Kluyveromyces lactis: one gene and its partners. The protein of the gene in region 1 purifies or fractionates together with the protein of each later gene. This does not show direct contact. Links are inferred from orthologs where the notes say so. Each region holds a gene or a part of one and is shown in the gene's direction. Other genes may lie near its edges.

What was found. The genes of interacting proteins can lie anywhere in the genome.
Region 2: the proteins of IWR1 (region 1) and RPB10 purify together in Saccharomyces cerevisiae (affinity purification with mass spectrometry, with the first as the bait; 4 studies listed by BioGRID). This does not show direct contact. The link is inferred for Kluyveromyces lactis from reciprocal best matches to the Saccharomyces cerevisiae genes IWR1 and RPB10.
Region 3: the proteins of IWR1 (region 1) and RPB11 purify together in Saccharomyces cerevisiae (affinity purification with mass spectrometry; 5 studies listed by BioGRID). This does not show direct contact. The link is inferred for Kluyveromyces lactis from reciprocal best matches to the Saccharomyces cerevisiae genes IWR1 and RPB11.
Region 4: the proteins of IWR1 (region 1) and RPB3 purify together in Saccharomyces cerevisiae (affinity purification with mass spectrometry; 9 studies listed by BioGRID). This does not show direct contact. The link is inferred for Kluyveromyces lactis from reciprocal best matches to the Saccharomyces cerevisiae genes IWR1 and RPB3.

What each region holds. Positions count from the first base shown.
Region 1 is NC_006041.1:814,984-817,831, reverse strand, and holds IWR1 (Iwr1p), read left to right. Parts: upstream 1-1,198; coding exon 1,199-2,326; downstream 2,327-2,848. Other genes in the region: ATG20 (Atg20p), read left to right, coding at 1-3; KLLA0_E09153g (short-chain dehydrogenase/reductase), read right to left, coding at 129-971; RPL9A (60S ribosomal protein uL6), read left to right, coding at 2,781-2,848. UniProt on the Saccharomyces cerevisiae protein: Directs RNA polymerase II nuclear import. Binds RNA polymerase II in the active center cleft between the two largest subunits in the cytoplasm.
Region 2 is NC_006040.1:576,062-578,046, forward strand, and holds RPB10 (DNA-directed RNA polymerase core subunit RPB10), read left to right. Parts: upstream 1-1,272; coding exon 1,273-1,485; downstream 1,486-1,985. Other genes in the region: NAN1 (Nan1p), read right to left, coding at 1-783. UniProt on the Saccharomyces cerevisiae protein: DNA-dependent RNA polymerases catalyze the transcription of DNA into RNA using the four ribonucleoside triphosphates as substrates.
Region 3 is NC_006039.1:542,739-544,937, reverse strand, and holds RPB11 (DNA-directed RNA polymerase II core subunit RPB11), read left to right. Parts: upstream 1-1,333; coding exon 1,334-1,699; downstream 1,700-2,199. Other genes in the region: transcriptional regulator SIN3, read right to left, coding at 1-657. UniProt on the Saccharomyces cerevisiae protein: DNA-dependent RNA polymerase catalyzes the transcription of DNA into RNA using the four ribonucleoside triphosphates as substrates. Component of RNA polymerase II which synthesizes mRNA precursors and many functional non-coding RNAs.
Region 4 is NC_006040.1:1,362,309-1,365,161, reverse strand, and holds RPB3 (DNA-directed RNA polymerase II core subunit RPB3), read left to right. Parts: upstream 1-1,429; coding exon 1,430-2,353; downstream 2,354-2,853. Other genes in the region: protein translocase subunit TIM44, read left to right, coding at 1-173; KLLA0_D16192g (uncharacterized protein), read right to left, coding at 581-946; 1-(5-phosphoribosyl)-5- ((5-phosphoribosylamino)methylideneamino)imidazole-4-carboxamide isomerase HIS6, read right to left, coding at 2,601-2,853. UniProt on the Saccharomyces cerevisiae protein: DNA-dependent RNA polymerase catalyzes the transcription of DNA into RNA using the four ribonucleoside triphosphates as substrates. Component of RNA polymerase II which synthesizes mRNA precursors and many functional non-coding RNAs.

The sequences.
Region 1 (2,848 bases):
TAATCAGCTTTTGAATTAACAGATTTTTTTGAATATATACATTTTACATATATGAATTCCACCCTCCCGCGTTTAGATTCTCAACAAGAGCGGCATTAAGGAACGGATATTCATAAACGGCAAAAGTTTTATAGGAAGGGGGATAAATATTTGAACATCTGATACCATTGCCAATCCAATTCTCTTAGAGCTAATTTGAAATTCGTCCTCATCGAGTATCCCTGAACACCTTGTCTATTATGAAAGATAGCACTGAAAACAGTTTTAGCCGTCGTCATATCCTGGTGCGGTTTAGAATTAAGAGCTTTACCAAAAATCAAAAGTAAGCAGCGAACTCGGCCGTTGCTGATCAAAAAATTCTTCTTATATTGCTCTTTCAACGTCTGTTCAATCAGTTGGAGTAATTGAAACTTCGTTGCTTGTATGGCACCATAAGAAGACTTATTTTCCGTAGTGTATAAGCCTTCCGTTGAAGCAATGTCAATTATATAACCGCGATCGTACGCTATCATTTTAGGTAAAATATGCTGAATAATATGCATGCTGCCCGCATACACTGTTCTCATTAACTTTCTCAAACTCACACCTTTCCCCACTTCGGCGTCAGTAAAACTTTTCAAGGAAACCGCATTGATAAATACAGTGATTTGACCAAATCTTACTGAGATATCATCCAAGATTAATCTTGTATATTCAAAGTCAGAAATATCGCACTTGTAAAATGACACTCGATGAGGTTCAATAAGATTTAATGGGTATCTTTTATCAATGAGAATAGTCTTATAGCCCAAGGAATCAAACATTGTAACGAGATGTGACCCAATACCTCTCGAGCCCCCAGCAACTACAACAATGTCCTTTTGTGGACACAATGGTATACCCACAAAAGAGGTAACTAAATCTTCAAGAACTCTAACATATTGAGTACCTTTTTGATCCAACGCAAAATAGTTTAAGCTATTCCAAAACATAGCTACAATCAGAGACCCTTTCTCTGATAAAAACTATTCTATACTATGACCAATGAAAGTTATACCAACTCTAATTGCCATCGTTTTCTTTACTGTCACTAATTGACGTTCTTAGCGTCAATTTTCCAACTTTCTTCATGTTTTGCTCAGAATCATTTTGTCTAGGAAAACCAAATTTACCTTTTCAACTTAGAATAAGAATCATTTGATCCAAGACCAATGGATTAATGAGGGAATCACATAGCAGAAACGACTCTGTTCTACCTACAGAAGCAAATATATCTGACATGAGTAAAAGCATATCTGGCGTGGAGTACATCAGAGTGAAAAGACGTCGGGATGAGGATTCCGTACAGGCTTTGCTCTTAGAAGAGGAGAGAAACGCAAAAAAAGGGAAGTTCGTGTTCAAGCTATCTAAGACTGTAGAGCTTGAGACTCCCGATGTTAACAGTCCACTATTGAAATTGAGTAATGAGAACAATGATAAAAAAATGGTTTACGTTCTTGAAAGGGAACGGGAGCGCCAGGCAGCGTCAGAATTGCAAGAAGAGCTACCGGATAGCATTGCGGAAATGCTAAATGACTATCTTAAGATAAAGGAGAAGGACTCACCAGAGCACAAGAAACGCAAGGCAAGTCGAAAACATTCAAAATCATATACAGCTCCGATCTTGCCTCCTACAGATTACGTTTACGATGTGTATGTGAAACAAACCATACCAGAAGATGAGGAGGAGTTCGTTTTCGATAAGAGTACTATCGGATACATCAGAATCGTTGAGCATAATGGGGACATGATCCCAGAAGAAGAAGTAGATCCAGAGAAAACAATGTTGACTGACGATGAGGATTCAAATGAGGAAGATTATTATCAGAACGATTATCCGGAAGATGAAGACGATGACAGATCAATTTTTATTGGAAGTGACGAAGATAGGACGGATTCAGAAGATATAGTATACCTTGACGAATTAAATGATGAACTGGATCAAAATTATAATGTGGACGGTGAGCAGGCTAACGAAACCACCAATGATAATGGTGATGAGTTTGATGCATTATTTCAAAATTACGGAGAATCTTCCAATCTTTTGAGCTCGTTGAATGCCAATAATTACGTCGACTTTGACTACGACGACGATGACCATGCCGATAGTGATAATGACAACGGTAAATACGACGGTGACTTTGTCAATTTGAAGCCAGAGGCTGATGACGATCACGATACTGGAATGGACGTAGATGATCAGACATTCAAGAGAAATTACTTCTTCCCAACTGACAAAGACGATGAAGATGCTATACACAGAGATCGTATATTCGGCAAGCTGCAAAAGATGATAGATAAAGTGTGATTAATTTGGTCGTTTTGGATGTCTGACACAATTCCCTTGTTGTGAGTCAGATATTCTTTGGGATGGGGAATGGATCATTGAAAAACTGCGGGACTGTTATTCTATTATGTACAGGTGTTCCAAAGAGGAATTTTTGCGGTTTTTTTTTTTTTGAGATGAGAACTACAACCGCTAGGTTCCACAGAAAAAGTCGTTGATACTGTGAAATGTCTGGGTGTTTGGTGAAAAATTTCTGAAGTCTCATTTCCTGCGTCTGCAAGATTGACCAACTTTCACCAATTGCAAAGCTCTAGGTTAACAAAGATGATGTGCAAGCATTCCCAGTTATACTTGGCTCCTGCATTGTTTGTTGAAACAGGCGTTAATTACAGTATTACAGTATTACAGTTGAGTGCATTTGCTTTGTTTTGGTTTTGGTTTTCAGATAGGCTGTGAGCGAATACAACAAGACAAGATGAAGTACATTCAAACTGACCAAGTCCTAGATGTCCCAGAAGGTGTTACCGTCCAAATCAGATCCAG
Region 2 (1,985 bases), on another chromosome or scaffold:
ATCAGGTAGATTGATCAAATTTATAACACCAGATGCAAATCCAATAGCCAACTGCTGGCCGTCGTTATCTAACGCAAGAGCAGTGACAAAATGGGAATTTATGGTGGTACTAGATGTTGTAGATGGTACTGGGAAGTTCTGAACTGAACTGTTGTCGACCATAGATTTGATCAGCACATGTTTTTTAGTTTCCTGGTTCAAATAAACTAGGGCAAGGTAGTTATTGTTATTAGACCAAGTTGAAAGTAAAACATTCTCAAAAGTTTCAAGGTGTTTAACCTCAGATTCTTCCTCTTTCTCTTCAACGTTTTCATATAGATCATATCTGTAAGAGTTCCCTGTTTTCTGAACTGTAAGTAATTTCTTCCCATCGCCAAGAACTGCAAATAACTCGCCAGTAATATTCAAAGACCAAGTTTTAATCTCCGTGGCTAATTTACCCTTATACTTCAATATAACTACTTTCGCAGTGTTGGTATACACTCTGATCTTATCCATCTCATCGTCAATAATAGGCTCGATATGCACCACCTCTACAGAAGGCTCATCGAGTATCGAAGTCAAAATATCATTATTAGCAAATTTCAATGTCTTAATACATTGTCTAGTATCAATTGAATACACTTTGAACTGATTGTTGAAAGGGACAATGTATGCTGACCCGTCCTGAGTAAGACAACTCACCGATTTTCTAGTCGCGGATCTATTGTGAATCCTAGGAAGAGCGACCTTCCCACCAGAAACAACAGAAAGCTTGTACATTGGTAACGAAGAGTTTGGCATATTTAACGTGGATTCGATAACAGCTGATACTCTTGTTGGTGCCTCTGGCTGATCCTACTCTTGGTATTTTCTTTCTCTGCTTCTCAAAAGACAAGCTCATCATATAACTCATAAGCTCATCGCATCTTTTCAATTATTTGTCTAATGTGGATTCTTTTTTTTCACCGTATGTAGAATTGTAGTTTTGGAAAATTTTATGGTTGAAACCTGTGCAGGACGAGGATTTGAAAAGAAACGATGGTCATCTCTATCGTGAGAAGTGACATATAAGGGCATCTAATGAAAAATTTGGAACCGATGAAAAATTAAAGTATTAAGAATTAAGAAAGCTGGTTGAATATGATGATTTGTGATGCAAATTATATGAGTTTTCAAAAGGTCGAGCAGGTTTTGATCCACTTATTGTGATAGTTTATAAATCTCGGAGGGTTTATTCCAGGTTTCCAGGTTTCTAGGTTTTTTTTCGTTTCGATATACTTTTAAAGAGAGATGATTGTTCCAGTTAGATGTTTTTCCTGTGGGAAAGTTGTCGGTGACAAATGGGAAGCCTATTTGAATATGTTGCAAGAAGAAGAACTAGAAGAAGGTACTGCTTTGACTAGATTGGGGTTGAAGAGATACTGTTGCAGAAGAATGATTCTAACACATGTCGATTTGATTGAAAAGTTCTTGAGATACAATCCTTTGGAAAAAAGAGATTAGGTGGTCTGCTTTTACTATCAATTGCGATACCCCCTTCTACACTAAAATGGTCCATTCTCTTTAATTACGTCTTCACTTTTCTGCCACTGGTTACTACCGCGTTGTTTTCTTGCGTTCTTTGTTTGCATTTTATTACGTTCGACGTATGGACTCCAGAATAGACAAAACCACTGAGTTTCAATTACCATCTGTTTGCTGTAACTTCTGTTCAGCTGCTGAAACGACAAATAAAGAAAGCACAAGAAGCACGCATGCACGCATGCACACAATTCTATTTCATGTACTATTGCATTGTATACTATTCACATCACCTAAATAAAGCATATTCATCTGATTTTATAAATTTGGTATGTTGGGATTTTAAAAAGTTCATTAATTATTTAAAGACGGGAAGCCTTACATAAGATGTTGGCATATTTCCATGTAGAAACATATTAAGATTAAGTTTTGTTTATATACAGTGATCTCGTAAATAGTAGTCATTATAAAGTGTTCCAGAA
Region 3 (2,199 bases), on another chromosome or scaffold:
TTGAAATTTAACCTGTTCCAAATACGATAAAGCATCCTTGACGTTCAAGGGCCTATATGAAGAATACTGAGCTTGTTGCAGTGGATCCTGTCCCACTGTCATAGCATTTTCCACCTGGACATTGTGCCCCTGAAGTAATTGCTGTTGTTGCTGTTGATGCGTAATATCTGGTTGTTGAACGATATTGTTAATTGATGGAGTAGGGATGGCGCCCTCGCTATTCGTTGAGACAGGACCGTTACTCCCGGCGGCAGAATTGATAGGAGTTCCTCCATTCTGTAAATTGATGTTATCCATTCGGTTAGAAACACCAGACAATGGTCCGTGGATGTGAGGGTGCACATGCGAATGTGAATGGGAATGAGAACGTGCGTTTTGCTGGCCTTGTACCTGTTCCTGTCCTTGACCCTGGGAGGGCTGATTTGATCCACTAATAGTAGAAATCGATGGTAGGGTCACGTGATGTTGTTGTTGATCATGTTCCGGTTTTATCTGGATGTTAACGGCGGGAGGCGCGAGCTGAGGTAACAGATTTGGACTGTTCTCACTTTGACCTTGCACACCATTAATCATTCCAGTCGATGGTGGAATTTGTTGCTGCTGCTGCTGCTGTTGTTGTTGTGGACCATCCGGTTGTTGGTTCCATGGCGCCGACATCTTTTACCCTCGAGCACGATTGCCAAATTTTGTACTAATACGATGCGTTAGATAACACGATCAAAGAATAGATGATAGCAGCGCTAATCGTGGTCGTACCTCAGAGCAGTTAGATAAGTTCCTTAATCAGAATCAAATCTCGATGATTGATAAAGAAAACAATAAAAAAAAAGGAACAGGACCAAAAAACACGTCGTGAACAATGGTGTACTCCTTAGACTATGAACTAGATACTCAAAGTACTGGTATAAGCTCAAAGCAATTACTCGATTATCCGCCCTTGATATCGCACAGAGAAGGTTATGTCTTGTCTCGTTCCCCTTTAGATTCTGCAACCGCATTTAATTTCCACTCTAAATACATACTTTAAAGAGTTCAAATGTTAAATTTCAATTTATATGTTTTTTTGAATCTTTCCATTTTGAATTTTTTTTTTTTTTTTTTTTTTTTGGTCTTGGGAACTGTCGACATTTCGGGTCAGATTCAATATCACGTGCCTGAGGGTAACCACTTTTCATTCACTGATTCTGATTGCAGTTCGCTTCTCAACATGAAAAATTCACAACAGAACTTTAAAGTGACCATAGACAACATTGTGTGGGTTTGGCAGGAGAAGGCAGCGCAATCCAGTGACAGATTCAATCAGTGGCTCCGCTAGATAATATAGAGTAACGATATGAATGCTCCAGATAGATTTGAACTTTTTTTACTACCGGAAGGTGAGTCGAAGCTTAAAGTAGAGCAAGATACCAAGGCATCCAGTGCTATTATAGTAACGTTTGAGAAAGAAGACCACACTCTAGGGAATTTGATTAGAGCCGAACTTTTAGAAGATGAAGGAGTTCTTTTTGCAGCTTATAAGGTAGAGCATCCGTTATTTGCCAAGTTTAAAATGAGAATTCAGACTGTGGAAGGATACGATCCGAAGGATGCGTTGAAGAACGCATGTAATAGCATTATCAATAAGTTGGCTCAGCTGCAGTCTAACTTCGAAACAGAATGGAATTTGCAAACGTTGGCTACTGAGGATTATGGTATGTAATAGTGTTGGAAATTGCTCAAGTGTATTAAACAAGTGTCAGGTAATTCATCTTTTCAAAAGAATTATTGAACCTCCTTCGGTTTTTCTCTATCCCCTCTTCCCTTCTATGTATTATTTTCATGAACTGTGTTGTGTTTCGGCTATAAAATAGGAGAGCGTATTACTATCCACCGTAAAGTTCAACGTTCATTGTGTATAGGACTATTTCTTTTGGGTTTTTTGGGTATTATCAGTACAGAATAGTGACCTTGTTTGCAATAAAAAAACCTTGGAAGGAACAAGATATTCGAATTTTGATATCTTCACATCTTTCTAACTTGTATACATTTGTTGTTACTTTTAAGATACAGTTTTTCTGGTGAGGGATCATGTTAAGATTCAATTATTAATTTATGTTAAATTAAACAAATTTATTCTGGCAGCCCCAGGCTTATTTCATCACAGATTCAAAATTAACTAATGAAACAATGAAATCTGACAGGTGAAGATATTTTGATACA
Region 4 (2,853 bases), on another chromosome or scaffold:
ACTTATACAGAAAAGCAAAGACCGGTGAAATTGCAGCAGGTGCTGAATCCAGTATATTAATGAGTTCTTACGCCATGGTTTTCACCAGGGATCCAGAAACTGTCGACGATAAGGAAACCGAAGGTTGGAAGATCCTCGAATTTGTCCGTGGTGGTTCCAGACAATTCACTTAATGACCATGACTCCGAAATTTTTACTCAGTACAAAAATAACAAATAATAATGATACAAAGCCAATACCTTCCCAACCTTCACTTACTATCGCTCTGGAATAGATTCATGAGTTCGTTATTTGGAAAAAACGGTGGCGGAACACAGCTTTCACTACCTAATCCTGTTCTATATTGCATGCCTGGTAATGTTATTCTTGGATTACTGCGAACTATCAGAGCGTATGAAAGAAATAAAGTGTTGGTTTTGGTCGTAATGTACATTAAATCATCATCATACTAAGTTAGTTTATATTTTACTATATAGATTATCGTCGTTTCTGTTTGACGAAGAAGGAACAGAACGACGACAAGAGAATTCGTGTTAATAGTATCCTAATCCTTCTATAATCCCTAGGAGAAGAAGTTCAGTTATATGTTTCTTGGTGGCCTGTATATCGCATTCTTACCAAATAAGTTCCTAATTATACTTCTGCCAATATTACGTCCTGCTTGTCTGCAATATTGTAACCATGGCTTGGCAACGATATAAAATAACGAGAGAAAGACACCCTGCAAAAATGGACTTATCAAAATATCTCTAGCAACAACTTTTGCAACGATATATGGTGTAATGGGAGGATCTACGACAGATCCATCAGCCACCGATAGAGTTAATTTATTCTGTTTCAAAGCTTCTTTCCTCAAGGACTGCTTAAAGGTCTGTTCAAATCGCAAATCTGGCAATGACGCCTTTACTGAAACTTTCTCATCCACACGGGCAATTCCTTTAGGCATGGTAAAAGGCTGATTATCTGTGGATAACTCACCTTATTTTAAATTCGGTGATGTGTAATTGTACTTGATATTTCGCCTATTGCGTGGGATCAGCTTTCTAATATGTTCAAAAACCGATTTGAAGGTCCTACAAAGAAGAAATAATGCTAATAAGAAAGAAATGGGGCCACTATTGTTCGAAGAAGTTAACTATAGGTAATAAAGGCTATATATACATGACTCCGAGCAATATTATTCTTAGCTGAGCCTATTTGAAACAGTATTGATGGAATAGTCCTATGCACGTGACCAAACGCTGCCAAAGCTCAAAAATTTTCCAACTGAACAAAAGTGAAAAATTCATAAAACAATAATCGAATGCACCAAGGGAACGAGAACAAATCATTTCGTTGCTGTAGTTTGGTCAATACTCTGGTATTTGATTGAGCAAGGAGCAGGTCATATCTTAGGGAGAAATCAGAGTTTAATACTGCGAAAGAACAAATGAGCGAAGAAGGTCCCCAAGTAAAAATTAGAGAAGCAACCAAGGACAACGTTGACTTTATACTTTCTAATGTCGACTTGGCTTTAGCAAACTCGTTACGTAGAGTCATGATATCTGAGATTCCTACACTAGCCATCGATTCTGTTGAGATTGAAACTAATACTACTGTGTTGGCAGATGAATTTATTGCGCATAGACTTGGGTTAATTCCATTACAAAGTGCAGACATTGATCAAGTTGTATACTGTCGTGACTGTTACTGTGAAGATCACTGTGACCGTTGTTCAGTAGAGCTAATACTACATGCTATCGGTGAGAGTGAATCCACGACGAACGTTTATGCTAAGGATTTGCAGATTACCAGCGATTTGAAGGGTAGAAATATTGGCCATCCAATTATACAAGACAGAGAAGCAAATGGTGTATTAATCTGTAAACTAAGAAAGGGACAAGAGATAAGAGTGAAATGTATCGCTAAGAAGGGTATTTCAAAAGAACATGCGAAATGGTCACCATCAGCAGCTATAGAGTTTGAATATGATCCATGGAATAAGTTAAAACACACAGATTACTGGTACGAACAGGATGCAAGGGACGAATGGCCTCAATCTAAGAATTGTGAATTTGAAGATCCTCCTAACGAAGACGAGGATTTCGACTACAGGGCCAAACCTAATACATTTTACATAAACGTCGAGTCTGTTGGTTCCATCACTTCGGAACAAGTCGTCGTACGTGGTATCAAAACTTTACAGGATAAAGTAGCCGACATATTATTCTCATTAAAGAAGATGGACCAAGAGAAAGTTAATTTCGCAGCAGGAGCTGTATCTACGCACGTATCACAACAAGTGCCGATGGAAGAAGATATGGATCCTTATGGAGGGCCAGTAGGAGGCTCAGGATACGATGATGCATGGTGAGACAAGACAACAAGAAAAAGCTACCACAATTATCGTGAAAGGCAACGATTTTTCTATAATTCATTGACGAAACACAAGGCATATATTCCTTAATACTAGCATACTCAAAGGCACTAGCAGCATCTGCTACCATCCAATCTACCACGTCCGTTCAAAAGTTGAACGGTCAAAAATGTTTCAATATCTCTATCTCTATATAGAATGTTTATTTCCATCGAAAGTGTAACTATTAGACAAAGACTGGAAGCTAAGCGTGTTTCTCATGGTTCCATTGGACACAGTCCTCGAACTTTACAAGGGATCCACCAAAAATATCAAGAGCACTACCAAAGGTCAAATCAATTTTGCCATGACTCAATTTCTCTACTAGCCTTAAATCATCCACACTCTTAGCGCCGCCTGCGTATACGATTTTCACTTTTGGAATATCCGCAGTCCATTTGTACAAATGAGCCACTAGCTCTTCATCAATCCCATTACATAGACCCTCTACATCTGCT